4 linked regions of the Rhinolophus ferrumequinum genome follow. The protein of the gene in region 3 purifies or fractionates together with the protein of the main gene of each other region. This does not show direct contact. Links are inferred from orthologs where the notes say so. Each region holds a gene or a part of one and is shown on either strand. Other genes may lie near its edges. The genes, in order: DCAF10, WDTC1, CUL4B and COPS9.

What was found.
Region 1: the proteins of CUL4B (region 3) and DCAF10 purify together in Homo sapiens (affinity purification with mass spectrometry; 4 studies listed by BioGRID and IntAct, with this or other methods). This does not show direct contact. The link is inferred for Rhinolophus ferrumequinum from reciprocal best matches to the Homo sapiens genes CUL4B and DCAF10.
Region 2: the proteins of CUL4B (region 3) and WDTC1 purify together in Homo sapiens (affinity purification with mass spectrometry; 4 studies listed by BioGRID and IntAct, counting the BioPlex papers as one, with this or other methods). This does not show direct contact. The link is inferred for Rhinolophus ferrumequinum from reciprocal best matches to the Homo sapiens genes CUL4B and WDTC1.
Region 4: the proteins of CUL4B (region 3) and COPS9 purify together in Homo sapiens (affinity purification with mass spectrometry; 3 studies listed by BioGRID and IntAct, with this or other methods). This does not show direct contact. The link is inferred for Rhinolophus ferrumequinum from reciprocal best matches to the Homo sapiens genes CUL4B and COPS9.

What each region holds. Positions count from the first base shown.
Region 1 is NC_046295.1:53,409,520-53,417,352, reverse strand, and holds the start of DCAF10 (DDB1- and CUL4-associated factor 10), read right to left. Parts: upstream 3,006-7,833; 5' UTR 2,922-3,005; coding exon 2,377-2,921; intron 1-2,376. Other genes in the region: uncharacterized protein LOC117031691, read right to left, coding at 5,301-5,594, 7,209-7,339. UniProt on the Homo sapiens protein: May function as a substrate receptor for CUL4-DDB1 E3 ubiquitin-protein ligase complex.
Region 2 is NC_046292.1:18,638,223-18,645,135, forward strand, and holds the start of WDTC1 (WD and tetratricopeptide repeats protein 1), read left to right. Parts: upstream 1-3,904; 5' UTR 3,905-4,019; intron 4,020-5,430; 5' UTR 5,431-5,554; intron 5,555-6,913. UniProt on the Homo sapiens protein: May function as a substrate receptor for CUL4-DDB1 E3 ubiquitin-protein ligase complex.
Region 3 is NC_046284.1:36,157,885-36,164,983, reverse strand, and holds the start of CUL4B (cullin-4B), read right to left. Parts: upstream 3,008-7,099; 5' UTR 2,876-3,007; intron 776-2,875; exon of another isoform or gene 771-775; coding exon of another isoform or gene 1-770. Other genes in the region: C1GALT1C1 (C1GALT1-specific chaperone 1), read right to left, coding at 1-770.
Region 4 is NC_046291.1:1,141,544-1,149,367, reverse strand, and holds the start of COPS9 (COP9 signalosome complex subunit 9), read right to left. Parts: upstream 3,016-7,824; 5' UTR 2,924-3,015; coding exon 2,861-2,923; intron 1,065-2,860; coding exon 992-1,064; intron 1-991. Other genes in the region: OTOS (otospiralin), read right to left, coding at 6,046-6,230, 6,904-6,930, 7,058-7,162, 7,417-7,540.

The sequences.
Region 1 (7,833 bases), on a different chromosome or scaffold from region 3:
TAACACAGATGCCACTTTTTCTAAAAAATTACTTTAAGTGCTATAAAAATTTGGAGTATATTAGTAGATGTAGCAAGATACTAAAAACTTAAGCCACTGAACTATTTTCACCTATCACCTTGACATAAATGAAAAAGAATGGCAATGTTCTATGTTGGCAAGGGTATAGGAGACAAGCATTTTCATTTATGTCTCTGGTAGGAATGAGAATTGTTATAGTCTTCAGAGAGGACAATTTAATAGGTATCCAAAATCTTCATAACCTGAATTCATTTCAGGGATTTATCATAAGGACATAAATCTAAAATATTTGTTTACAGAGGTTTTATTTAAGCTAGTGAAAAATTTTAAATGTTGCAGAAATATATTAACATAGGTAATTCATAATATATTGTATAAAAAAGCAGGCTACAAAATAGCATGATTCCATGTTTGTATTAAAATCAACATATACAAAGAAAAAATTTTCTGGGATATCCAATTAATCTTCGGGATCATAAGTTTTGTTTAGCTTCTTTTCATTCATTTATTGCCTAGGTTTTCTACAATGAGTATATATTAGCTGGGTAATTAAAAATTATTGAATTGTTTTAAATATCAGAGTGCCTAACCACTTTTTACAAAAATGTTTCTATGAGAAAATACAGTCCAGATTCAGACAAGAACTATCAATAATATATCCCTCATTCTAATATCACTGGAAATAGAATTCCTCCTTTATAACTCATTCTATCCCTCTCACCCTCTACCTAAAATCCCACCTCCAAGAGTAGAAACAGCGACTTCTGAAGGTCTGACAGAATAGATAGGAAGAGGGAGGAGAGGAGCTGCGATATGGAGAAGAGAGGAACTGAATGTTCATGAGGAAGAGATTCTTGGTATTTTGGGAGGAGCTTTAAGAATAGGGCTTGGTTTGAGGAAATAGAAGGGAGAGAAGATTCCATGAATAAACTTCAGCAAAAGTTTTTCTTTTTACCAATTTCCTCCTCTATATTCAGGTGCAAATTTATTGCTACAAGTTCCATACAACTGCTATAATGAGAAACTCCAGAGATCCCAGTACCAAGTGTAATTAGGAAGAAGCATTTGCATCAGTGAAATGGAATAGGGTGTACCTGGCTGATTCCAGACTCAGTTGCTTTGCTCCTTTCTGACTGTATGTTAAGTCTTTCTTTAGCAAAATTCTTTGCGTTGTTAATCTATCATCTTTCAGCTTCTCTGACATGATACACTGCCCCTCCAGACACATGCCTTTGATATACCAGTTCCTACATATGAAATATTCCCCAATGCTAGCTATCTTGACTAACTCATCTTCTCATTTGTCTGATCTTCCTTAAGTGTCACTTCCTAAGGGAAACCTCAAACACCCTATTCTACAACAGGTTCCTTCAAGCCTTTATCTCAATTTGTAAATATACATTATTAATTATTTAGCATGGTTATTAATATTTAGTTGAACCAATTGGTCCCAAGCTCAATGAAAGCAGTGCCATTAGCTGGTTTTGCTCACCACCGTAACCTCCATCTCTGGTACATACAAATGCTCAACAATTATTTGCTGAATGAGGGAATGAATGAATGAACAACTAAGCAAATGACAAGAATCCAGAAGCCTTGATAAGGTACGAGTTACATGAACTAAGTCGTCTCATGGTGGAACTGTGTGTAAATTCTTTTCTTTGACTGCTGTTAAACTTGTTCGCATACTCACAAAACAAAGTTTTAAGAAGATACATTATTTTGAAAATTGGCACAAAGTAAACTGAGGCCAAACACGAGCTATTTAATCAGCCAGGAAAAAGGCTGGTTCCTCTTAACAGAAGCATGTAGTCTAGCCTGGAAACTTCACAAATGCCCCACATCATGACACACCTCTCTGCAGTGTCTTTAGCATCTTACTGGAGCAATGGAACGCACACTTGTCCCCTCAGGGCAAGTCAAGCACAGGGTACAAGGCATCTGCAGGCTCCCTACCTTTGACACATGCTTAGGTGAGAAAAACTCATGCCAAGGTGACAGGGAAAAAATGAGCATTTATCCAGTGTATTTACTGAGCATCTATTACTGTGCCAAAAAAAAAACCCCGTTTTGGACTGGTTCTGACAGACCTGCTAGTGACTTTAGAAATTTCCCCTTCACAGAGCCTGGGCGTCCAGGTGAGCAAATGAGGCCACCGGCGGCCGACCTCAAAAAGCCGGATGGGGCCTCCCACAGAGATAGAGCATTTCAGAAAGCGCCAGAGGCATGAGGCCAGCGACGCCAAACAGACTCGCGCACCCCGGCCCGGGCCGAGCAAGCGAGCCCTGGGCAGCGGCCCACGGGCAGCCGAGCCCGGCGGAGCCGGGTACCCGCCCTCCGAGGGGCCGCGCTTACCCGTCGGGCGAGTACTCGAGGTTGAAGACGGCACCGTGGGTGCGGGTGCTGAGGTACACCGAGTCGGCAGGGTGGATGGAACCATAGAGGTTAGTCATGGTGCGGAAATTGTCCCGGGCCGGGTCCACAAACAGCCCGCGGCCCAGGCTGCGTTCTCTCAGCCACCCGAAGAGCCGGGCGCCAGGGCCGCCCAGGCTGGCGCCGAGGCCGCGCCGACCCCGGCTCCCGACCCTGCAGTCTGGCCCGGGTCGCCGGCGCGTCGGGGAGGGCGGTAATGGCTCTCCTGGGGCGGAAGCAGCTGAGGACTCCAGTGCTCCGGCTAACCTGATCTCCCCAGCATGCGAGGCCTGGGGCGGCGAGGGGCCGCGGGAGCGACGAGGGCTCCGGGAGGGCGACGGGGGAATGGCTGCGTCAGCCCCGGGCAGTGGCGGCGCGGGCGGGGAAGGGAGCGGCCCGGCAGTTGACACCTGTCCCCCGTGGGGTGCCGGCTCCTCAGTCCAGGCCTCCCGGTCCCCTCCGGGGCTACCGGGCCCGAAGGGAAACATGACTAACGCCCCCGCCCCCCCTCTCCCGGCCGCTGCCCCGCTGGCAGCCACCTCGGCCCTCCCGCTCCAGCCGCCACTTCCGGCGCGCGGCGGCCTAACCCCGCCGGCTGGGAAACCCGCGCCTCCCTTTGGCCACTATCCGCCGGGGACCGCGAAAGCCGGGACACCGACCGAGGGCGGTCGGGAGCGACTAACTGTCTGTGTACACAACTGAGAATGCAGAGGGCCGGGGCTGTATGGTGCAATTAGCATCTGGGCACCTAGTGTAACAGAGTCAATTTGTAGTTGTCAGCGACCGTGACTGTGTGCCAGGGGATGAGTGGGGCTGACTAGTCAATGAGGTTGGGTATGATTATGTACTGTTATCCCCCAGTTTACACTGAGATCAGCGAGGGGAAGAAATGACCATAGTATGTGCAGGTCACACATAGTAAGTGTTACAGTGTACTGCCTACTGAACCTGGGAGTCTAAGGACTCTGATTAACTTATGCACTAAAAAGCCCTGGCCCATACAGTGCCTGGAAAATGGAGCCTACTGGTGCCCTGATATTTGCCTGATTCCCAGCTTCTGCACAGTAGGTCAAAACTTTATCAAGGTCAAAGCCTTCCTCTCTGCAGAACCAGGCATATATCCAGCCAGGAGTCACTGAGGGGAGCTGGAGACCTGAATCAAATCTATCTTACATGCAACAGAGCCCAGGATCAACCCCATTTACAATCTCCCAGGCAGGGCATGGAGGGCATGACAGATACAAGGCCCTTCACTGCTGTTGAAGATAAATACATAGAACTCTGCATAAAAGGATTAACAGGAACTGGGGTGTTTTTTGGGAAGAGTAGTCTTCAATAAAGGAAAACTTGAGGTACAAGGAGGGGTAGATAAGGAACTGACAATTCTAAGCCTAGATCAAGAGCTGTGTTGTAGAAGGTTCACATTTGGTGACTGAGGAAAACTGTGGAGGATCTTTGTAAAAAGATCTATCCTGTGAGAATAGACCCAAAGTATATCTGGAGGAAGGAAATGAGATTCAGAGGGCTGAACATTCAGCAGGTGCTCCCAGCAGGAAAGTTAATAGTTACTCAGCTCTCCTGTCTACGAGCTGATCAAAAAAATGGCAAGAAGCATGCGTCCTGAGTTCAGATAAGGCAGCCATTCCTCTGGAGATATTCCCTATGTTGCCCACACAGAGCAGAAGGGGTAAAGGTCTGTCATATGATTAACAAATAATCTCCCTTAATGACCCACAATTTCCAGCTGCAACAAATATTTAATAGAGGCCCCGTGCTTGACCTCCAAGTTATGGCCAATGGCTAAAACTTTATGGCCTACAAAACCTTGGCCATGATACATTCACCAATGGTAACTTTTTCAGTAAATAAAATAAAACTTAATTTTAAGGGTTCCATATTCTAAGGCATTTAAGATACAGTTCCAATAGAAAAACCCAAGCTCTGCAAGATTTTTGTGCTAGCTCAAGATAATTAGATTTCACAGTTCAGGCAATTCAAAATTAACACACTATATAACCCCAAAACTGAATAAGAACTGTTCACTGACAATTTAAAGAATCCAAAGAAATCAAATGGGAACAAAAACATTTTATAGGTTTACATGTACCTCTAGCAATTAGATACGAATCTTGAAAAGTTAAGATACCCACAGACTTTAGCCCAAAAGCAGAAGTGTTTGTAATATACCGAACAAGTCTTTCAGTAATGCCAGTTTTTTTTATGCTTCTACTTAAAATGTTAAGTGCTCACTTATTCCAAATAATCTTTACTAAAACCTAAAATAAACCTAAGGACTAAAATAAATGACCATGATTTTACAACCAATCAGTATATATATATGTATAAAAACCACTGGAAATTAACTGAGAAAGCCTTAAAGATAGAACAACGTTAACCATGCCTGCTCCTATTTATCCACTGCCTTTGAGACTCTTTAAATACAACCATGTTAACAAGGAACTGATTTCAAATCACAGTCTATATAGACCAATTTCTGTGTAACACTATTTTTGAAAGCTAAAAATTTTCCAACTTTAAATTCCTGAAATTCACAGATGTCAGTTCATCAAAAATGCTTAAAGCATCCTCTGAACTCCTTTGCTCCTGATGCTCTTTTTAGATAACAATAAAAGTAAACAACTGGCAAAGGTTTCCTGAAATTGGCAAAGGTTTCCCCTAGGCCCAGGTATCACATGTTTCTAGATATCCCCAACACTTAGGATCTATCTCATCAAGCAAGCAGGGAGCAAATTTATTTACTCTCTTCCCTGTCCACTGACTAGATGTTTTCAGAAAACTACTTCCCCATTGATGTCTTCTAATGCAACATGCCTGAAATGTAAACATTGGCCTTTCCATTCAGGCTTTTATACTTTGGGAGCAGCAGGATCACTCTTGATGTCTTTGACATCACTGGTTCTGCCCATCAAATAGAACTCTTTGTTAGGAACAAGACTGACAAAATTAGCAAGACAGTTGGACATGGCATAAAAAGCTGAAATGGTAGCTATGTCCCAGGCATCTTCTCGGTTGAAGCCATGCACTTCAAGCTTTCTGAAATGGTCATCTGTTATGTCATCAGCTCTGGAAATAGCAAGTGCAAACTCCAGCATTGCCTTTTCCCGAGCAGGGAGGTCAGACTTTCTCCAGTTCACACAGACCTGCAAGAAAACACAGTCAGAAGCAGAATCTCTGTGCATCAAAATGCAGCCAATAAAACACAGGCCTAACGACATGGGCATTAATAAAAAAAATCCAAGGGTAAAGAGGCAAAGTCAGGCCATAATAAATTTTCCAGACAGATATCTTGGTCAAGTTCAATGGAATGCAAACCTGGAACTTTGGCTCAGTCCCACCTCTGCCAAGAAGTCTTCTTTACTCACTCTAAGAACTTCTTTCTTCACTAAACACCTATAGCATCAAAACTCTCAGAACCAGATTCAGACACTCTTAGTACATAAAGACCTCAAATCTTTTCATATGAGAAAAGTAAAGCTCAGATAATTATCCCTTTAATTCCCTAGGAAGTAGTATTTTTTATTACTACTCCCATTTTATTGGCAAAGGAACTGAAGCTCAGAGAGGTGAAGAGACTTCCCCAAGGTCACACAGCTAGACGAGCAGAGCTGGGATCTGAATCCAAGTGTATTGGATTCCAAAGACTATACTATTAATAATAATCATTACCATGCTGAAGCATAATACTACAAACTACTAAACACCTAAAAACAGAAGAATAGTTCAGGAAACCATGGTGTGACAGCACACCATATGGTCACTAGGGAGGCAATGCCTGAGAAACTGATCCTGGTTGAGCAAAGGTCTGGCGCTTAGGCAGAAGGCTCTGAGCAGGGGAAAGAGGATAATGTATCTGTCCTGAAGTTATCTTCAGGATAGCAACAGAGGCTCTCGGTGAACAGTTTGCAAGGTTTCCACTCAGGTAGGGCCAGGAGGGAAGATTGGGGAATGAAGACTGATGACCTTCAACCTCAGGAATAAATGCAGAAAACAGATATTTCTGTCCCCCCAGCTAAAGGATCAGGAATTTCACTATGGGGATCAGTAGGACTTTGTAAGCTTGGTGACAAACCCATGTTCACTATGTCTACCCTCAGTCCATTTCTCTGGGAAGAATTAGCATGACCTCCGACACCCAAATGACCCGACTCTGGATGAAGCAAGGAGAGGGTAAGCCATTGGCTGGGGCGTTGAGACCCATTTCACAACTAGTCTTGGTGGCAAAGAGCAGATGGAGGCAGTTCCAGAATGGGAGGCAGACAGGCCCAAGCTTGGGGTTAGCAGTAAGAAATAAAACCTACAAAACTGGCTTGGGCCCATTAGGAGTAACTTAGTGGGTAGACTACATTTGCACTGGAAAATGCAAACAGTATAATGTAACAGAAAGAGTGCATGCTTTGAAAATGGTTTCTGCCACATTCTAGCTGTATGCCCCATGTTAAGTTACAGCTCTGAACCTCAAGGGTAAAATGGTTATAATTAGGCTCAGCCTAGAGGGGGAGTTGTGTGCATTTGAGAGAATGTATGCCAAGTATCCAGTACCAGGTCTGGCACAAAGCTGGGGCTCAGTTGACCTCTAGCCCTAAACATCACGTACACACAGAAGCAGGTGGGCCAGTGATGGCGACTGAAAGGGAACTCAAGCAATGGGAAGAGCTAGAGACATGTGTTCTTTGCATCTTACAGTAGCATGTGCTTTTCCCTTTCCTCAGGTCTGAAGAGACCCTGAGACTGGCACAGGGGAGGCAGGCACTAACCTGGTCAGAGAGCACTGGGTTCTTCGAGTAGACCCTGTACTGGGCACTGTGGACAACCACACTGTATGGGCACCTGCTGGCCTGGCTGATCACCACTATGATTAGTTCCTTGTCAGCTTTGCTGAGCTGGCCTGTGGAGGAAAAGGAGGAGACCTGTCCACACACCCTGGACAGCAGCTCAGGAAGAACCTCGGCAGGCTCAGCCATATTTTAGCGATAGAGCTGCTCACCCACCTCCTCAGTCACCCATTCGTTTATGCATTCATTCCCAGTCCCTCACTACCAACTATCCTATTTTATTTTCTTCGTGATACTTAACACTTTCTACACTCAACTTGCTCTTTTATTTTATTTAGTTATTCATTGTTTTCCCCTCTCTAGATGCTGTTTGAAAGTCTAGACATTTTTCTGACTTGTTCACCACTATATCCCCAAAGGAGTACTTAATATGATATATAGTTGCTAAGAAATTATGTGTTGAATGAGTTACTAAATTCAAGGAACATTATCTGAGGCACATCAGGTACTAGACAACCACTTTTTAAAGACAAGGAAAAAGGAGAGAAGAGACTTCCTAAGCTCAGGAAACCTACTACTTGGGGGTAGGGAGAGGCAGAGAAGGAAC
Region 2 (6,913 bases), on a different chromosome or scaffold from region 3:
AGAGAGCTCACAACCTCCCAAAGTAGCCCAGCTCTATTGGTTAGAAAGTTCTCCCTAGATTAATCTGAAAACACCTATGGCTGGGAGGGGTGTCTGATTCTAAACTTAACCCTCCTGTGAGTCTCTGTTTCTTCTACGGAAAAGGGGAGTGAGAATAATACTTGACTCATAAGGTGGTTGTGAGGATCAAATGAGTTAGAGTGTGTGTGAGAATGTATATATGTGTGTGTATATAAATACATATATATACACATATATATATACACATATGTCATACATGCATACATACTCTTATTACCGTGTTTCCCTGACAATAAGACCGGGTCTTATATTAATTTTTGCTCCAAAAGATGCATTAGGGCATATTTTCAGGTGATGTCTTATTTTTTCATGTATAACAATCAACGTTTATTCAAATACAGTCATGTCATCTTCTTCTGGAACATCGTCATAACGTACTAAATGCGTCCATCTGGCTGACGGTCTTAACTGTGGCTTATTTTCGGGGTTGGTCTTATTTTCAGGGAAACATGGGTAGCAGAAAAGAGAAAGAGTGCTGAGAGAACAAGTGAGCTCCTGGTAGAAAATAATCAATAAATAATAACTGCAGCTATTATTAATATTCTTCTTCCTGTCATCCACTCCCAACAAAAAAGTTCATTCTGACAACAAATATTTACTGAGTGTCTGCTCTATGCCAAAGACTGTGCTAGGAGTCACAGAAACCTCACCCACACTTCTCTGTTGGTATTTCCAAGATCCTCTGTGACAATGCCAGCATAGAACAAGGGTTTAAAATGGGGGTTGTGGATTCAAATAATCCAGGATTTTATCCCAACTATACCACTTCCTAGCTATGTGATTTGTGAGAGTATTGCTTCATTCACTGATAAACATTAACTCCCATGGTAAATATTCAATAAATTTTGGCTAATTCAGTTTAATTGACCCAGTAACCCTAACCAGGGTTTCAGCCTAAGGAGCTATGAATAGATAATCTCAAAGTTTCTTCTAGTCCCCAAGTTTATGATTTTGTATATTCAGTGGAACATATGAGGGGAGAGATCAGGAAGCATGACCCACAACATTTTTAGGAGAAAGGCATTTCACAAAGCTAACTTCACAAGGGTAGGTTCTAAGTCCACCATATGGGGAGAAATCACCCTTTGGGAGCTCAAAGACTAACTCATACTCTTGATGTGAGCAGAGCAGGAAAAAACAAGCAACTCACGGAGTGATAAACAGGGGACAAACACTATAAATGCTAAATATGTACAGTCATTAGCCACGTAACGATGTTTTGGTCAACAATGGACCCCATACATGACAGTGCTCCCATAAGATTATAATGGAGCTGGAAAATTCCGACGGCTTAGTGAGGTCATCTGTAACGTGCAAAGTATTACTCACGAGATTGTGGTGCTGCTGGTGTAAACAAACCTGCTGCACTGCCAGTCATATAAAAGTATAGCACACAATAATTGATCATGATAATAAACAACTATATCGCAGGTTTATATATTTACTATATTATACTCTTTATTATTATTCAAGACTGTACTCTTTCTATTTATAAAAAAAAAAATGTTTGCTGTAAAACAGTATGTCGTGTTGGCACCGGTAGACTTGTGTTTAACAAACCTCTTGATTGGATTGCACTATTTTCTCTTGTGCTTGATTTAATCTTGTGTTGTTTTGTACAGTAACAGGCTGTATAGGCTTATAGCCCAGGTGTGTAGTAGGCTATTGCCATCTAGATTTGTGTAAGTATATTCTATGATGTTCACACAACAAAATCACCTAAGGCTGCATTTCTCAATGTTGCATATCCCTATCATTAAGTAGCACATTACTGTATATTCAATCTTTCCTGAGGTTTGGTGCTGCTTGATTCTCACTGGAGGGAAAGATAGTGTTCAAAAGCTCAGACTCTGGAGTCAGGAAAATCTGGGTTTCAATCTGGACTTGGATGTTATCAGCTATGTGACCCTGGGCAAGTTGCTTGTAACCTCTTAGGCCTCAGCTTCCTCTGCTGCAAAACACAGATAGCAACAGTACCTATCTAAGGAACTGTACGCATTACAGTGCTGACATAGTAATGCTCAATAAAAGCCAGTTTATTATTGTTACCCCAACAAATTTTCACCCTATAGGTGAGTAACAAGTGTTCCAATCTCAGAAGATGGCACTCACTGTCTGCCTTTTTCTGACTTGACACTCCTTGTGGGTGGGGGCCTGGTCTCTGCCTTCAGAAGTTAAGCATGATGCCTCCCTTGTCACCTCGGGAACTTCCTTAGAAAGGAGGTTAAAAGGTTGGAAACAGCTTCTTCCTCAGCAGTGCCTCTACCAGTTTCAGATGTATCTTGTCCTCTCCCATCAGCCTGAGGGTTCCCAGAGTGTGTGTGGCTGGCTCCCCTCCAGGCTACTCCGTGTAGAACTGATTCCCTTTTATTCTCTTCCTTCAAGCCTAGGAGACAAGAGTTTGGAATGTGCAGCCTCCCAGAGCAGGAAGGAGTAAGCTGAGCCTAGCTGTGGGGAGCCCTGGGGCCCCAGCCTGAGGGTCCCACAATTCTGGGGCTCTCAGAAGTCATGAGGAGGCTCTTAGCAGGACTGTGTCGGGCTCTGGGGGACAATGGGTTGCGTGTGAGGCTTCTCCCAGAAGAGACGTAAGGAAGCATCTTACGTGGATGTAGGGTGGGAGATGCGTCTTTGTAACTAATGGCAACTGGGTGGGGTGGCCCACTCTGCCGCAGCTCTTCGACGGAGGAAAAACTACGACTCCCAGGATGCCCCAGGGCTTAGCCCGGCTCTCCCGCCTGCCCACTGGCTGCGGGTTCGGCGAGCGAGCGAAGCGGATTGGTCGCGGTGGTGCGGGGCTCCCCCACTAGCAGGTTTAGTAGGCGGAAGCCGGCAGCAGACGTTGACCGGGCGCGAGGGAGGGCGGCGGGGGGGCCCAGCTCGCCATTCTGGAAACGGCCAGGCGCTCTCTCCGTAGCGTTCCCGCTGGGCTGTGAAGCGCCGGGGCGGGGCGGATGACTGCGTGGCGCAGGCGCGGAGCTGGGCTTCTCCTGGGTCCCCCAGACAGCTGGAGGAGATAAACAGTGCTGGAGGAGGGAGGGGAGTGCGTGTATGAGAGCGCGCGAGGGAGTGTGAGTGTGTGTGAGCGCGGGTGTAAGGCGGTACGCAGGGGGCGGGCGGGAGGCGCTGTCCGGCCCCGGCCAGGCGCCGGGCGGAGAGCCTGGGAAGAGGCTAGAGCTGACCGGGCCCCCCAGCCCCCTCCCCGGGATCCGTGCCCCCCCCTCCCCGGAGAGGGGCCGGGCCCCCAGACGGACATGGGCTCCTGAAGTTGCGCCGCCGCGGGGTCCTGGGAAGAGGCCTGGACAGGTACGAGGGCCGCACCCCTTGCCTTCCGGGCGCGGAGGCGAGGACTGGCTCCCGCAGCTCCGGCACACCGGCCCGCTTGCTCTGGGCCGGCCCAGCCCCTGCCGGTCCGGGGGCCTGAGCTTGCCCGTCTCGGGGCTTCGGGGTGTCCCGAAAGGGGTTCAGGCCTTACTGGGGCGTTAGGGCAGATGGGCCTGGGTGGAGGGCTGACCGGGACGGTGGCGAGAGAAAGCTCTGGGAGTCCGGGGAGGCTCTGCCGTGGGAGAGATGGAAATCGTCCCATCCCGGGACTTTGCGGAGTTTTTGTTTGACATCTGATGTGGCGCGGGTCTCAGGAAGAAAGGGGCACGCAGGTGGAAGTGCCGGGAGGGCAATGTTTGACCTGATCTGTTCTCTTAGTTTCTCTCTCTCTCTCTCTCTGTCTCTCTCTGTCTCTCTCTGTCTCTCTCTCTCTCCTTTCTGTGTGTGTGTGTGTGTGTGTGTGTGTTCGTGTTCAGGCTTCTGGCAGTCGCAGATGCCTTCAGTGACCCATCCTGGCACCAAACTGAACTCTGCCAAGGTGTTTCCACCAGGCGACTGTAGCGCCCGTACAAAGGGCCTTTACTTGGGACCGGGCTATTCATCACCCACTTCAAAGGGTAAATAGGAAGTGTGGAGTAGAAGAGAGACTGCGAACCGGCAGGATCCAATTCTTTTTACTGAAAGCTGTAGTGGGACGCCCCCTTGCCAGCCAAGTTGAATTTGCTTAGTGCCCTCTGGCTCTCTTCCGCAGGTGTACTACCAGGGTCTCTAGAAAGGAGGTATCGGTACTTATGACTAATGTCTAATAGCCTCATTTGACTGTTTTCCCCGAAGTCTTTTTCTTTTGTGACTTTCTGTAACTTATCTCTTGAGGTAGTGGAGGAGTTTAAAGTTTTCCTAAAGTTTGTGAGTTTAGAAGCCCGCTAGGATGGCTGTAGCTTCCCCATTCTTCCCAAGGATAAAGTGACAGTCCTTAAGTGTTCCCTTTAAACAAAGCCTGCCAACAGTTTTGAGAAGAAAACTCTTCTGAGGGCACATCTTGACTCAGAGACATTATGAAATCCCCACCTAGGGCACAGGTATGCCCAGTGGCCTGCCCTAAGCTTTTCTGTACCTTACAGTCCTTCTTGAGTGGCTAGTCTCTGTTCACTAAGGTGAGGAACTACTTAAGGCTATTTCTGGTTTTAGTTCTGGCTTATTCTTCTTTGTAATTCCTTATATTTTTAAAGGGATTGAATTGAATCTTGGCTGTTGCTAGATCAACTGTCACAGACCAAGGAATAACTAGTAGGGCTCCTTTGAGCTGAGTCTGAAACTAACAATGGATTTCTTTATCGTAGATTGTTGTATTTCATTGGCAGGGGGGAAACATCCTTTTTTGCCACAGCTTGTGATCATGCTGCTTTAATTCTGGGGTCCTGCTAATCCTTCCTTCTTTTGACCTATTTTGGGGGCACTTATTTTCAAGTCACGTCTCAATTTCTAGAAGCAGTGCTTTGGGTCAACTCTGCAGAATATTTGAACAACAGTCTGTATTTCTGCTTGGGACCCCTTCTTTTGGGGTTGCGGAAGGAAAGAGAATATGTGTAATGATTATGGTAATGGTGTTAACATTTACGATTTGCCAGTTTTGAGTTTGAGTTGTTACACAGCTGACAATTTTTCTAGCTGGAAGGAACTCAATATTGACTTATGGAACATCCTATGTAGGGTATTTTCCCACACCTGGACTTAAGGATCTGGAAAGATGCAACTAAAGATCTTGAAGCCCCCCCCCACTTCCCTCCCCACTAAACATTTGTGGATCTTGAGGGACCAACTGCTGGGAAGACCCAGAACTGTGACTTGAATTATTTTTATTTTCTTCTCTTCTTTTTGAATTAGGAAATGTGGCCCACATGTGGAGTCCTGGGTCTTAGAGAGGACACCATAGACAACATGTAATATGGTGATACTTAGATTTTCTTTTGGGTCACTGGTTTAATGATATGTCCTGTTTTCTTTCTTCTTTCATCCTTACCTTTCCAGATTCTCCACTGCATCTTTGGGCTGCCATTTGCAGATGGCCCACATAATTCCTTTTTAGACAACTAAGAAGAAAGCTCTTCAAAACCCCAAGCCCTAGAAGTTGCCGTCAGAAACCAACCCCTTGGTATTGTGTTTAATTCTGACTAATATGCTGTGAGAGATATGTACTAATTGGCTTATAGCCTATAAAGTGACCGGTGTTCATTGGAAGCCTGGTATATGTTGGGCCATGTCCCATGTAGTGTTCTTACTTTATCTCATTTAACCCTCATGACTGCCCTGTGAGGTTAAAATCATTTTTCCTGTTATACATATGAAGATACAGGTTCAAAGATGTTAAGTAACTTACTTAAGGTCATACAGCTAGTAAGGGAAAGGATCAAAATTCAAACCCACGTCTGTGTCCTCTGGGACTGTGGCACATGAGGAAGAGCTTAAAGGACCGAAGCTCACAGCCTGGGGGATCATGATAACTGCTTTCACATACTTGAAGAACTATCCTGCAGAAAGGGAACTGAACTTTTTCTGTGTGGTTCTGGAAAGCAGCACTAGCATCAAAGGATGGAAATTCCAAGAGGGTAGACAGCTTGGTAGGAGAGTATTTGGCTTCCTAAAAACGAAATGGGCTGCCTTGTAAGGGAGTGAGTTATCCATTATGGGAGGTATTCAAGCAGAGGCTTTGCCACTTTTTATCAAGGATGTGATAGAGGAGTTCATACTTATGTAGGTAATTGGACTAAGTGATCTGTTAGTATTTTAAATTCTGTTATGTGAAAATTATATCAAACTACTATCATTTTGATCTGTGAAAAACTAAAATGTATGTAACATTACTTTGTGCCAGGCTTGCTAGACACTTTTCCTATAATATCTCATTTAATCCTCTGAAATCCCCTATGGGTAGGTACTGTCATTTTCCCACTTTACAAATGAGGGAACAGAGGTTCCAGAAAGTTTTAAAATATGCTGGATGTTACACACCTGGTAGTAGTAGGGCTGGTATCTGAACCTATGGTCTGTACTTTCTTAGCTGTGTGACCTAGGGTAAATCATATATCCTCCTGAGCTACAGTTTCCTCTGTGAAACAAGACTTAGGACAGCACCTACCTTACAATGAGTTTATGAGGACTAAATGAGGTAATATACACTTTCCACTACACCTCACTGATTGTTCAGGTTTAGGGGTAAAAGGGGACCACTTTGGTTTCTTCAGGGTGAATTCAGACCTGACTGAAACCCTGAGTTCTAGGGTTCATTCTTTGTGCTATTAGAAATAGCTGCTGACTCCTCAAAGGGCTTTGTGACATTAGTGACTAATACCTTAAAAACATGAGGACTGAATAAGAGGAGGATTCAGCCAACAGGTTGGAGTATAGGAGGCAGTGCCAGAGACTTTGTGGAAAGAAAATTCTCACCCTATTGTAGAGTTAGATTCAGAGATCACTGTTTGCATTTTTGTATTTAATGTCTTATTTTAGGATG
Region 3 (7,099 bases):
TCTTTAATAAAAAGCCCAACAGATTTGGTATTAAATACATTTTTTCCTTCAGAATCTTCTGCATTTTCTGCAAACACTCCAGCATATTTCAGGCAGACTGCTAGCTGCTTATCTTCAGATATCTTCCAAATCATCCCTCCCTGTTCAGGACACTTTTCAGGGACACTGAGAAGGCTGTTAAGTCTTTTCATTGATTCTATACTTAAGACAATTCCTCCTTCTACACTCACATATTCAAAGTCTCCAGATTTTATAGTGTGGCCCAGATAGAAAGGTTGTGATGGATCCTTTTTTAACAAAAAATACTTTAAGTTTTCAATAATAGCAAACGTGGAGGGGCGTGCAAGGAAGAACCAGTTGTACTGGTCTCTATATTTATCAAAGGTGTATTTGTAAGCTTTTCTCATTATTAACCACATGTCATTTGTTTCCATGTTAATTGACTCAAACACTTTAACATTTTCAGAACTGAAGAACTCCGCTTTGTCACAGTGTTTGGTCCAAGTCTCCTTCACTGCAGCCCAAAGACTCACATCTTTGGGTTTTACAAGGATGATACAGTATACCCGAAAGCTCTTACTGAGCTCCATGCGTTCATCCTCTGAAATTTTCAAGATATCTTCTTTCTTAGGAGCTTGTAGGTGATGATGCTCATGGTGGTACATTCTATTTCCATAACCAATTCTAATGTGTCCTAGCATAGTGATCAAGGCACAGAAAATGCTTCCCAGCATCACACCCTTCAAAAATGAACTGCTTTCAGAAAGCATTTTTCCTATAAAGAAGAAAAAAATCCTTAGGATACTTAAAAGAAAAGGATTAACCTAGTGATTTGATTTGGTATTCCATATGTATACTTACATTTTGGTCTTAACATTAAATAAAGGTTCCCAAATTTGAAATCAAGTTAGTTGCATGTAAGTACCAAAGGGTCTAATAATAATTAGCTTCCAATTTATACTGTTCAGTATAAACTGGAACTTTGCAGCAACACCTCTCTGCAGAATTTTCTGGGAGGCTATTTTTGTATTTCATCTATGGGGATTTAATTAACCAAGTACTAAAAGCATTAACTCGAGTAGCCAATGTTACATAGATTATTCTTCCATCATTCTGTTTAAAGGAATTTCGTATCAGAAGCTTGCATTATATTATTTAAATACCTCTTCAGATACAGACTTTTACATCAAAATCTTAAATTGAACAGATAAAACCACCCACAATTGGCAAATCAATGGTATCTGTGCTGGCATTTTTGTTCTCAACCTAGTGCTTTATTTAACTGATGATTGTTGTCCTTAGGTGTTTTGAGTACATGTAAAGCAAGTTTCTTGAAATTGACACAGTGTATGTTAATATTTACCCTATTGTTCCTAAGACTAAATGGTTTCCAATACAGTATCCCAACTAACTCATGTAATCAAAGCCCACAATGAAAATAGTTAAATTATTTGAATGATAATTTGGGGCACCATTCTGGGGAACCATTAATGAACAGTTTTACTTCCTCCAAGGCATTTTCTTATTCTTTGGGGAAGTAAAAGGAGAAAAGTTTACACTTTTACTTAAATTATAAATTAAAAGAAAACCCAACATTAAATAGAACTGTCGAGATTTTCACAATCTCCCCTCTATCTCCACAAGGAATGGTGTACTTAGCTACTGAGATTCTCCCTTTGTCTCTTAAAGTTGAAAAGGGTCTTAGAAGCTACCTAATGTAATTTCTCTCATTTTACAGCTAGGGAGAGGGTCCAGAGAGTTTAAGTAACTGACCCAAAGTCACAGAGTTAGTTAGTGGTAGAACTGAACTAGAAATCAGATCTCCTGACATCAATTTAATGCCTTTTCTATTACAGAATAATGATCTCAACAGTGCTTCTACTGCCCCTGAGCCATTTGAGAATTTACTGATATTACCGAGAATTTAATAAATAAGTTACTGAATAACCTTGTTTTCCTACAAATCAAAAAAACAAACAAAAACCTGTGGGATTTTTAACCATAGCTGACACTTTGGACACGACATCACTACACTGCTACGAGGAAACCATCCCGTGATATTCTTCTACAGGAAATGGACTTGGACTTGTACTAGAAGGACAAGGTGTGGAATAGCTTGGCAGATGTAATTCCTGAGTGTGGGTGTGGGGGTGGGGAAAGAGGCAGGATGGTTTTCCTGTGCCACTCACAGAACTTGGTCAATAAACACAGCTCTAAGAAGGAAAAGAGAATTGACAGGACACAAGCTCTGCTTAATATTAGAATTGTCAGATGCACTCTAAAATTGATTTAGATAGAATTTTCGCACTTCATATTATGCTATTTTCATTTCTGGCTAATATATGATAATTCATACGTGTCTCTTAGCTTAATAATGCATATGTATGTCAGAATTCTTCTCGATGGGGTCACTACTTATGGCTTATTTGCACCAATTATTACAAAGAGATCGTTTTTTTAAATCAGGGTGGCAAAAAATGTAACACGGGAGATGCACATGATAGCATATTTGGTGCAGAAGAGGGGGAAACTTAAACTGCACACAGGCACAAATAAAGCAGACAATATCAGTGTTTTCTGAGATGCATCGTTTTAGAAGGTGAAGATGGTTGGGGTGGAGTATAGAAAAGGGAGGACGAAACGGAAACCAGGAGGGAGGACATGGTCACTTCAAGATCCCATTGCGGGGCCAAAGAGGGCCTTCAAGAAGGCGGCTCTCGGTCTACCGCCCGCACTACTCCCACTGCACCTGCCCGGGTACCCCGCATAGAGCATGCTGGGAGTGGGCCAGGGCCCAGGCCATCCCCCAAAGAAGGGCGGGGTTGGGCCGCTTCGGGGGCCGCTCCAGATGCAGGCCGATGCCCCCAGCACTCACCAGCGTCTAGAACGGTTCAGGGGCGGGAAAACACACCCGCGCACGGCTTTCCTCTCACGTTCGCGCGCGCCCCTCGGGTACGCTCCTGGTCGGGCTGCTCTAGATGCAGGCGGTGTAACCTCGTTGGTTTCGCTAGAGGTGGGTAGGGCCAGGAAGTGGACGCCGCGACAGCGCTGGCAGCGGGGCGGGGCAAACGAGCCCTCGGCCAGGCGGAGACATCGGCCAGCGCAGACGTCGGAAGGACCAAGCGCGCGCACAGCGCCCACGCACCGCGCACGCAGCGCGTCCTTTCTCCCCGCCCTCTGCTGAGGTCAGAGAGGCGCGTCCTGCTGGCTTGATCCGCACGCTCGCCTGTACCAATGGGACGCCTAGAGAAGTGTGCAGGCGTAGGACCTGCTGATACCTCCCACCTCTTCATTTTCCGGGCGTGAAAGCTGCGAGAGCAAGGAAGAGCATTGCTGGTTGCAGCTCTTGTGGCACACCTTTCAATGGTTTCTCAAATGTACTCTTCCGTTACTCCTTGGGCCAAAATGAAAGCGACTTGGGCCAAAATGGAAGCGACTGAAATAGACATCGAATTATGAAGGCAAGGATTCACTGTGGTCATTGGAAGGACATCTGAAGCTCCACTGTCTGGAATCCAATCCATCTTCACCGTTCCCTTTGGTATGCTAGAAAAGTGGCTTCACCTCATTATGCTTCAGTTCCCTCCTTTGTAAAGTACAGAAAATATCACGGTAGTGCTATCTCATAGGAGGTTAAATGAGATAGTGCATATGACTCCAACAAAAGACCAAACATAAAGTAAGCATTCATTGAATTTTGGCTATTATTTTTTACCCCTGTATCACTAGCACTTAGCCTGCTGCTAGCCTGTAGTAGACAGTACACGTTTTTGAAATTAATGAATGCTAGAGCTACAGATGAGGAACCAGGACCAGAAAGGATAAAGCACTTTCTAAAGGCCACAGAGAAATTAATGGCAGAGGTAGGACTAGAACCTAGGTCTCCTAAATTGCACTAAACATGCCATCTTCCATTTTAAATTCATTTTTGTGACAGACGGGTTTTGCTAAAACAGTACAAATTCTTACAAATATTTAAAACGTACTGTTAACTAGCTTCCATCCAAATAACACTGAGTGGTGACTTACTCCATACCTGAGCTCCTAAAGACACGTATATTTGACTATTGGCAATGACCTAGTTTAAGTAGACTGAAGGTTTCAAGAAGCACTGAGACAATGAACAAATCGATTTTAGGCAATTACTATCCTGACAGCACTCCTAAATTCTGGAGTTACAGTGGTGAACAAAATTAGTCCCCTGCCTTCATGGAGCTGTCAGTCTAGCAGAGAAGAAAGGCATTAAACAATTCATTACAAATAATTACAATAGTGTTATGTCCTTTAAAGAAATACAAAAATGAATTTTAGAACTGGAAAGGAACTTAAGACTGCAGAGTATATTCACTGTATTTTGTTAAATAATATATATTGTCTATTTTCACATATGTAGATATATGTGTATGTATGTGCATATGTATATGTATATAGTTAAGTGACACAAGTTGCGGAATAATGTGTATAGTATGATTATACTTTGCTGAAAATGAACAGAGTTTTCTATGTGTGCACATATATTTGATCTGTTTGTATGAGCAAAGAGTTGTGGAAGGCTCCTCAGCAAGCTGTTACTATTGATTACATCAGGAGGTCGAGGTGTGGGTGATTAACTTTCTCTTTATACATCCTCCTATTGTGTTGTTTCACTGGATATAACAAGCATTTGTTACTTTTGAAGACCAGCAAATAAAGGGACAAAATTAGAGGTACAAAATGGGCAAGACGGAAAGATACTTCTTTTAAAGAATGCAGAGAACCAGTCTCTTCTTGCCAAAAGGCACCAATGAAGGACAGATAGAAATGACACTCAGGATTCAGAGACAGTGACGACCAGGCAGTTAAGAAATACAAATTGGTAGTGACAAGAGTCACAGGGATGTACAGTACAGTATGGGGAATATAGTCAATGATATTGTAAAAACTGAACACTGTCAGATGGGACATAGACATATGGAGGTTATTACTTTGTGAGGTATATAAATGTCTAATCACTATGTCACTTTGTACACCTGAAACTAATGAAAAAATAAATACAATGCATCTTATGTCTAGTACAGGGAGGTTAACCAAACTGGAAATATTGCTACAAGAAACAGAATAAACCTCAGGATTTTCAACACCAAAAGCACTGTTAATGGGAGATTGCCTAAAAACCCAGTTCTCTACTTAAAGCAGAGCTTAAATATTTTTAGCATTGGAAATGAAGTTAGTGTGATGATGGACTTGCAGTTAGGTGATTGCAGTTTTAGAACACCATTCTACGTTATAGCCCTAACTTAAAAATGCATGCAATTAATATCTGTTAAAATTAAGAATATTTATACTCTTTGGCCCAGCAAACCTGCTTCAGGTAATCTCTCCCCCAGAAATTAAAGCACCAGAATGTAAGGCTAAATGTATAAGGGCAAATACATTGTTGTTTATAAAATAGCAAAAGTGGGGAACATCCACCAATAAGAGAATGGTTTAAGTAATTATGATACAGCCATGTAGTGGAATATTAAGCATAAAATAAACATCTTATTTCAGTAACCTGCACTAAACATTTCACTAAACATATTAACCTGCACCTTGTGGGGGAGGGTTGCTTTTGAGTTTAGTTGCCTTCATGTACCCAGTAGGTAAGTAAGGCAAGATTGCATTCAAAACTGAAACAATGCATTTTTGGTAAAGCCCTCCTCCCAAGTGTATGCATTATTCATAATGAGAAGTCATTAATTTCCAGTAATTGGAGATTCAGTAGCATGTGAGCACTCGAATTTTCGAAATCACTGCAAAGGCCTTTGGGAAATGAACATGGCTTTCTACAACAGTTCACTGGAATAATAAAATCTACTTTTGACACAACTACCCGTTTATAAGGAGCACAAAGGACAGAGAAACATATTAAAGGAAACAGGATGAGACTATTTGCACCAGACTGGGTAAATGTACGAGATGAAAAACCAGATTTCTTCAACAAAAAAGATCTACTTTCTTCTGGGCAGAAGTAGTACACGTACTACAGGTACTTAATGTTGGTAAACACAGGAGACATTTTGTTTTTAGTAGTTTCAGGTGCACAAAACAATGTAATAGACATTTATCATTTATATCCCTCACACAGTGATAACCCCCCTCCCCCGATCCACTATCCCTCTGACATCACACACAGCCATGGCATTTCCACTGTCTCTATTCCTAAGGCTGTACTCCAATTCTTGTAAATATATATATATATATACACACATATATATATATATATTTATTATATATATAAAATTGTAGTTGATATTCATTATTGTTCAGCTTCAGCTTCAGGTGTACAGTGCAGTGATCAGGCATCTACATCTTCCCTGAGGTGGTCTCCCTAATGGGACAAGTGTCCATTGGATACCCTACAAAATCTTTACAACATTATTGATTACATTCCCCAAATTGACTTTCATATCCCCGTGGCAATCTTGTGGTTACCTATTGTGCTTTCTAATCCCCTGACCTTCCCCCTTATCCCTACACCCCCTCCCATCTAGCAAACTTCAGTTTTTCCTCTATGTCTCTGAGACTGTTTCTGATTAGTTCATTCATTTATTCTTTTCTTCAGATTCCACATATACGTGAGATCATATGGTATTTGTCTTTCTCTGTCTGACTTATTTCACTTAGCATAATGTTCTCTAGATCCATCCATACTGTTGCAAATGGTAAGATTTCTTTCTTCTTTATGGCTGCGTAATACTCCATTGTATAAATGTACCACATTTTCTTAATCCAGTCGTCTACCGATGGGTATTTCGGTTTCCATGTCTTGGCTATTGTGTATAGTGCTGCAGTAAACATAGGGGTGCATACATTTTTTTGAATTAGAGTTTTGGATTTCTCCATATACATACCTAGGAGTTGAATTACTGGGTCATAAGGTAGTTCCATTTTCAGATATTTGAGATTCCTCCGTACTATTTTCCATAGTGGCTGCACCAATCTGCAATCCCACCAACAGTGCACGAGGGTTCCCTTTTCTCCACATTCTCGCCAGCACTTGTTGTTTGTTGATTTATTAATGATAGCCATTTTGACTGGGGTGAGGTGGTATATCATTGTGGTTTTTATTTGCATTTCT
Region 4 (7,824 bases), on a different chromosome or scaffold from region 3:
GCTCGGCTCACATGGCACTGCCCCCAGGTCTGAGAGGAGCTGGTGGCACACAGGATGTTGCTTCAGGGGGTGGCCGGGCTGCACTTAACCAGGAAGACTGCAGTTAACCACGCAGCCTGGCTTCTCCTCTTAGGCAACAACCGGCTGAAAAGGAGCCCGATAAAATAACCGGGACTCAGGCAGCCAACCGTCTTTGGTACTTTGAAAACGAACATGGCAACATAACATCCTAGCTGCCACTAACTAGTAGTGACAAAAGTTCTTTGCAGTAGCAGGCACCTTGGGTTAAAGGAGGACGACAAAGGGAGAAATACCAGTCAGTACTCCTCAGAGAACGATCCTGTGCTTCTCTGATGACTCAAACGCTCAGGAAGGAGTAATAGAATCTGTAGGAACATGGTCTTCAGAAACTCGAAGAGACCAAGAAAAACACGTCCTCTGACACATGAGGATTTCACGTAAAGTTGCCTGCTGTTTACTCGGTAAAGCTCCACACACATTCTGGGTAACTGAAGGTCTGAAACACGAATGGCCCTGGTTTCAGAGGAAGGAGGGAGTAAAGCTGCAAAGGCAGCGTGGGGACAGGAACCCAGTGGACAGCAGGGAAAGGAAAGAAACCAGCCGTCAGGAGCGAACAGGCATGAGACGCCTGATGGGGTCCCCATGCCCATGTCTAGTGTTGCGGGCCATGGCCCAGACATGACCACGGCTTCAGGCATCCAAAAGCGTGTCTACAGCTCACACTCAATGCCCAGAATGTAAGACTGGGAGCAATTTTATGCTATTTTTATCTCCTGAAAAACAGGGCTGGCTGCCAGTGCTAACAGCCCCTGCTGTCATTTCATATAAACTGTACTGTGTTCCGAGAACAGCACTGGATCTGGGCTTTACTGTTCTACGATCCAAATCATCCGTGTCACAAGGTCGCTCCACGGCACAGCCTGCAGAAGAGACACTCAGATGAAAACTGGCAGCCCCTCCGCACCCTTACCGTTGAAAAAGTCTGCGTGCACTGCCTTCTCGTTGGCTGCCAAGTCCATCAGGAGGCCGGTGCTGCCTCCTGCCTGCGGAAGGGAAAGGTGAGGCTGTCAGCAGCGTTTTCCGCAGGTGAGAACCGGTGGTAAGTGCCTTACAGGCTCCACACCACCACGCAGGAGGAAGGCAAGGGGCAGAGCAGTGCCCAGGGCAGAGTCAAAATTTAGCTCCAGGCGAAACGTGGGAGGGGCGGGAAGGCGGAGTTCCCGGGAATCACTGCAGGTCTCCTGGGGTCCTGCATGCCTAGATTCCTCCTGGCCCTTTAGATAGAGCCCGGCCCTGCCCTGAACACCACTTCTCCGTGAACCTCCAGTGGAGGTCCCAGTTCTCTGCGGGACGTCGCCACAGAGGCTGCAAATGTGCGAGCCTGCCAACCTCTCTGCTCTGGACGGCTCCCTGCTCCTTCCAAAAAGTAAACCATTTCCCTTGGGAACTGACCTGCTGACTGGTTGGTGAGGGGGTGCCATCACAGCACCTCCCGGTGCCACAACTCTATGGTGGCAGTAAAACCACAGTACGACCAAAGCTGGGCACTGTGGTGAGCTCAGGCTCTGGATGGAGTCTTAGAGTCACACGGTGACGTCTGAAGTCGGAGCAGAGTCCGCCGCCCCGCGCCCGCCCCACTGCCCCCAGGCCCTGCTGCAGCCCTGCCCGCCGACTTCCCCCAGGCTGGCTGCTGCGCCTTCTCCTGGCTCTCAAGTAGGTGAGTGTGCCCCGTGTCCCCTGAATAGCTGCTCTCAGTGACCCCGGGCTTCTCCACCTGCCGCATCTCCTCTCAGCCTCCGCCGGCTTTCTGCATCACCGGTGAGCCATGCAGACTGCGCGCTGACACACTGTGTGCAGTGTGTCCCTGCGTCCATCTGCAGGCGCTGTCTTCATTCGGATGCTCCCGGCCCTCCTGGTCCTCGAGCTCTCACTCCCCCTGCAACGCCCTCCGGCGGCTGCCCGCACAGCGCCTTCCACAAGCCCAGCAGCCGGGGCTGGCGGGCGTGCTGGGTGCGGTGCGGCCCCGCCACCCCAGCAGGGCTACCGGCCGCCCCCCTCCGGCTCCTCCCTGCCGTCTCTCGGCACCTGAGGCCCGCCGTGTTAAAGGACATGACACTGCCGTCCCTCGACCCCCTGGGGACGCCCGCCAGGCCTTCCTCCTGCGCCCTCTGCCACCGGGCAAACAGCAGCGCGACCCTCCGCGTGTGCCCCGCTCAGCAGCCCTCCTAAGCTGTCGCGGGGCCTCCCCGACGGCCGCAGGCGGCCCCAGCACGGCGCCTGCACCTTCCCGTGACACAGTGTCTGCAGTCGGCCCTGCCTGCCGTGCCGTGACCTGCAGGCGCGCGGGGACGGCTGTGTCCCCGCTCGGCTTTGAGACAGAAAACGAGGCCCTGCCGTCGCGCGTGGGCCCGACACTGTGCCGGGCCGGCTCTGCAGCTCCCAGCTCACGCACAGACTCTGCCTGTGACCACGGCGGACAGGAACACGCGAGGCCACCTTACGCCTCTGTAACTGCAGGACGCAGCGCGGTCGCCGCGCCAAACGTCCCGAAAACGCGCGGTCACGCAACTGCCGAGCCCCCGCCCAGCTTCTCCCCCGGCCTCTGCCCAGATGACACCGCACGACGCCCCGGGGACGCCCCGCCGCCTCCCGACGACGCGCACCCAGACCCCAGCCCGGCGACCCCCCGCGCCGCCGACCCCGCACCCTCACCGGTGCTCGGGACCCGAGTTAGGCTTGGGTTTGGGTTCAGAGCCGTCGGGGCAGGGGACGCGGCGGGGCGGTGGGGCCGTCCCTCCCGACAGTCCGGCCCCGCCCGGCCCGCGGCCTCCCGCCTCACCTCGTCCAGGTCCACGTAGGGCCCGGCGCCCTCGGGGAACATCTCGTCCACCGCCGGCTTCATCTCCTTCGCGGCGCTCCGGGCGTCCCCGCCTGACTTCCGGCGCAGCGGCCGCCTCTTCCGATGTGCGCTCAGCCGCGGCAGGTCTATACGCCGGAGGGTCACCGACTCTATGGTGTTTTTGTTTTGTTTCGTTTTTTTTTCTCCTCCCCCTCCCCGCCCCCCTTTCTCTGGCAGGTCTAGACCCAGGAGGACCGCCGACTCTATGCTTTCCTCTGGCCTTTGGTTTGGACCCACAGGGCTGGCCCTGGTCCCAGCTGAGGTGGACGGGGTTTCCCGCCTGCTTGTCAGGCACAAGGGGAACTGCTCAGTGACTTATTGGTGGCCCATAGCCACAGACAATTCAGCCCAAAGCACCTGGCACAGAAAGGTGCCCAAGAAATTCTCATTAAAGAATGTGAATGGTCAGCAGAGTGAAGAGGCAATCCACAGGATAGGAGGAAATGTTTGCGAATCATAAATCTGAGACGGCGTTAACGCCCAGAATGTATAGAGAACTAAAATTCAACAACAACAACAACAACCAGATGCAAAACTGAGCAAAAGACGTGAATAAGGACATTTCTCCAAAGATACACGAATGGTAAACAAGCCCATGAAAAAATGCTCAATGTCACTGACCAGGAAAATGCAAATCAAAACCCAATGAGATGCCACCTCACACCTATCAGGATAAAAGCCTCCAGAAAATAACAAGTATTGGGGAGGATGTGGGGAAACTGGAACCCCTGTGCACTGCTGTGGGACTCTAAAATGGTGCAGCCGCTGGGGAAGACACTGGGGCAGTTCCGCAGGAATTAAACATAGAACTACCATGTGCTCCAGCAATCCCACTTCTGGATTTATACCCCAAATTGAAAGCAGGGTCTTAACGAGAGAATTTTCATACCCGTGTTCACAGTATCATTCACATCAGCTTAAACGTAGAAACAACTTGGGTATCTATCCATCGACAGACGAATCCCCCAGCCATCAGGCCAGCAGTGACCATGGCAGGGATGGGACAATGGTGGCCATGGCTCACGCTTGTTCGTGGCGAGAAGCTCAACAGTGGAGTGTTGAGGGGTAAAGGGGGCTGAGAACATGGGCAGGAAGTGGAAGGGTCCCCCACAAGTTCTGACTACAAGAGGGGGTGCATAGAAGAGAACTGAACCTGCTGTGTGCTGAGATGAACAGGAGGGGTTCTTGCCAAATCTGAGTCCTAAACACGGCAGTGAGGTGCCCCGGGAGCTGCAAGGCGGGCAGCCTGTTACCTAGTGGGCGTGGGGTCTGGGGGATGTGGGGGGTGCAGGCTTCATCCTCTGAGAAAAGAGGGAGGGTCAGCTGGGCCTTTAAAGACACATAAATGTGGCCCAGCTGTGTGTCCCCTGGCAGCTATGGGGTGCTGCTGACTCCTGAGACGGGACATAGTTCTGGCCAGAGCACCATGGGGTCTGCCCAGGAAGGCACCCAGGATTAGGGACTTTCCGAGCAGCCGACAGAGAGACAGAGGGGGCCACCATTCTTTAATGCTTGCACACCTGCCAGCGAGGTGTGCAAGCACACACACACACACACACACACACACACACACGTCACTACCGGGGAAATCCAGCTGCCAAGAGCATCTTTTCTCTGGTCTGATGGATCGAGACCCAGTTGTCCCCAGTGGGAACTTATGACAAAACCTCATGTCCAGCTGTTATATGAATCAGGAATTTTTTTTCTCTCAAAAAATGCAGCTAACTTACAGAAACCAAATTCAAACTAGTTCAAGGGAGGGAAAGAAAGAGACAAAGAATGTATGGGCTTCCCCAAAGCAATTAGTTAGTCTTCTTGTTGAGAATTTAATCAGGGGCACAGGGAGAGAACCCACCAGGTGGTCACAGGAGGTGGAGGTGAGAGGGCAGCAAGCCTGTGGCGGGCTGGGGTGAGGGGGGTGACCACAGGAGGGGCCGAGCCCTGCTGCTCTGGGCACCGCGGCAACCTCCCCCTTTCCAGGGCCCTCACAGCCCTGCTGGGGTCCGTGCCTGGGTCCCAGGAAGTACCCCCCAAGACACTGTTGCTATGAGAATTCTCACAGTTACGTCCCCTACTGCTTGAGATAACTCGACTCTTGCTCTGAGCAGCAGAAATTGCCTCACTCATCTTAAAGGACTGCCTACCAAGCCTCCCGGACGGATAGCACGCAGGACCAAATCCAGCGCCATCACGTATTTCCTCCCAGATAGAATGGGTAGCACACAAGTTTCACAAAGCCCTACGTAATTCTTATTATGAGTCACAGTTTCTGTAGCTAGACTTTAGCACACATACCAGTATCTGTAGTGAAATACATCATACTTTCTATTATTTTATTTTAGTAGAAACTCTGGTTGCAGCCCATTAGTTTCTTCCATCTGACAGGGTGTGACCTGCAGGGTCTCCAGCTTGCACACCTGCCTGCGATGGCTCACCATCTGCACTGCAGGTGTCCCCGTAGGAGAGTCTGGTCCCTGAGACGCCGTCCATGCTGCCTGTCCATCCTTCCTCTTCCTCCGGAGAGCACAGGGTGGGCAGACCTAGTGCTCCCAGCGCCCTGACCCTTCCACAGAGACGGAACCCCTGCTGCCTGGTGTAAACCGCCCTCAGGAGAGTGCCGAGTGTGAGGGGGGCTGTCCAGGCAGGGCCTGCCCAGGGGTGGCCGCTGCAGGTCTGGCTGCTATCCAGCTTAGTGGCTAAGGGCAGGGGCTCTGGGGTGAAGCTGCCTGGATGGGCCTGGGTCCATCAACAGCTCAGCCAGTTACCTGGTGTCTCTTTGCCTCAGTTCCCCCACCCACACTCTGGGGGACCTGCAGCACCGCTCCTAGGGTCAGGGTGAGGATGAGATGACGGGGGACACAAAGCAGCGAGTCCTGAGCTAGAGCTGCTGTGTCTTCTATGGACAGAAACTGTGTACATGCTTATCAAAGAAGTGCTCGCTGACGGTCAAAGGAGCAGCTTCCTGGGCCGAAAGAGAAAGGAAATGGGTCCTGAGTGGAGCTGTCTCTTGAAAGAAAACCACAAACGTGTGTTGTGCATTTTAAGTCAGGAGTTTATTGAGCTGAGGCCAGACCCAAATCCCCTCGGGGTCCCTCTCTGCCCCAGGGCGCCAGGCTGGGGACCTCTCAGTCCTCCTGATAGGGGACATGGAAGCCCAGGGTGTTCCCCAGGGGGAAGTGAGCAAAGAAGGTGCGGGCCATTTCGTCGATCTGGGGGTAGGCCCCCAGCGTCTGGAAGAAGTACACATAGTTCCAGAAGTCAGACGTGGAGAAAGGCCAGTAGGGCATGGCCGGCAGCTCAGCGTAGGGGTCTGAAAGACACAATAGCCGGCCTCAGGGCTGTGCCACTCATCCTGCCCCCTGGCCACCCCCATGGAGGCCTCAGGCAGGTGAAGGTGCTCAGCAGAGCCAGCGCGGTGAGGGGACCGTCTTGGCTGGGAGTGCGGCTGGGCCACCCCAGGTCCTCCCGGAAGCACCCTGGAGCCTGGTTATTGGGGCAGCAATGGGGGATGACCCAGGCCCTGCCCCTTGGACTCCTGGTGTGGGGGACAGAGGAGGAGGCGGAGAAGGTGGGGAAAGTCTGGCCTCCCTGGAGATGCTGAGCGGGGAGGGAGTGCTGTGGGAAGGACGTGGGGCTGTCCTAGTGGGATTTCAAAGGAGACCACAGCCCCCAGCCCTGGAACCTGTATGTTACTGCACTGAGCTAGAACTCTGGGTCCGAGGGTGGGAATGTCAGTGTCCTCAGGGGCTCAGAGGGTCCCAACACCATGCAGAGCCCTGAGTGGCCCCTATCTGATGTGTCCCCCGGGGCCTGGAGGGCAGGGCCTGGGAAAGAGGCGCCAGTCCCTCTGCTCGCACAGCTGGGCCTGGAGCGGACCCAGGGGTCCCCTTCAGCTGCTTGGAATAAGAAGCAGCTCCCACCCAGTCCCTCTCCTTCCCCCAGCCCCACCAGACAAGAGAAGAAATGGGAGGAAGATACAATACCTCCCTCCTCCTGCACAGGCTTGGCCCCTGCAAAGGAAGAGGAGAACAGTCACCCAGGAGAACCCCCGGGGCGGTCTCACCACACATCAGCTGCCCTGGTGGCAGGGGGACGAGGCGCAGAGGGGAGCATGCAGGAGGACAGGGAGCCTCTCACCTGCCAGAGGCACCAGCAGGAGGCAGAGGGCCACCCCGTGCAGCAGGAAGGTTTTCATCTTCCTCAGACTCATCCCCACTGACCCGCTGACTGGCTCAGGTCCGCCTGCAGCAGGAGGAATCCAGAGGGTGAGACCACCCACCCGTCAGTGCCCCGGCTTCTTCCTGCCACCCCCAAAGTGGACAACTCCCGGGAAAACAGCTCCGGTGAAAAGACAACTTCTTAGTGTTTTCATAGCAGTTTTAATTTCAGTGCCTTCAAAGTATTATTCTGAGGCTAAACCCTGCGTTGCTCTGGCCCTGTTTAATTTCAACAATTTAAGAAACCGCACCTCCATCTGCTGCCCTCCCTGAGGTTACCTGGCCACCTCGCTCTGCTCCTGTCCTCAGCCTCAGTCTCGCAGCTGATGGTCGCCTGCTGCCAGCACACAGGCTCCGCTTTATAAACACCAGGACAAGGACGGACGTCACCTACGTGAACCATCAAACTGAATATTTCATCCCCCGCCAGAGGACCCGGGGCTTGTGTGACGCTGCTGGCAGTGGAACTGCACGCGTCCACGTTTGGGAATCTGATCCAAAGATCAAATTGGAGAAAAACATCTTTCTCAGGCGACTTCTAAGATTTGTATGACTGAATTCAACATCGGGACTCGAAATAAACCCATTTCCTCTCCCCCGGGAGAGAAAAATGGTCTAAGTCTGATACTGAGACTGAGATTCCCCCGCCCCCTGACCCCCATGGACTGGGCAATCACAGAGCTGCCC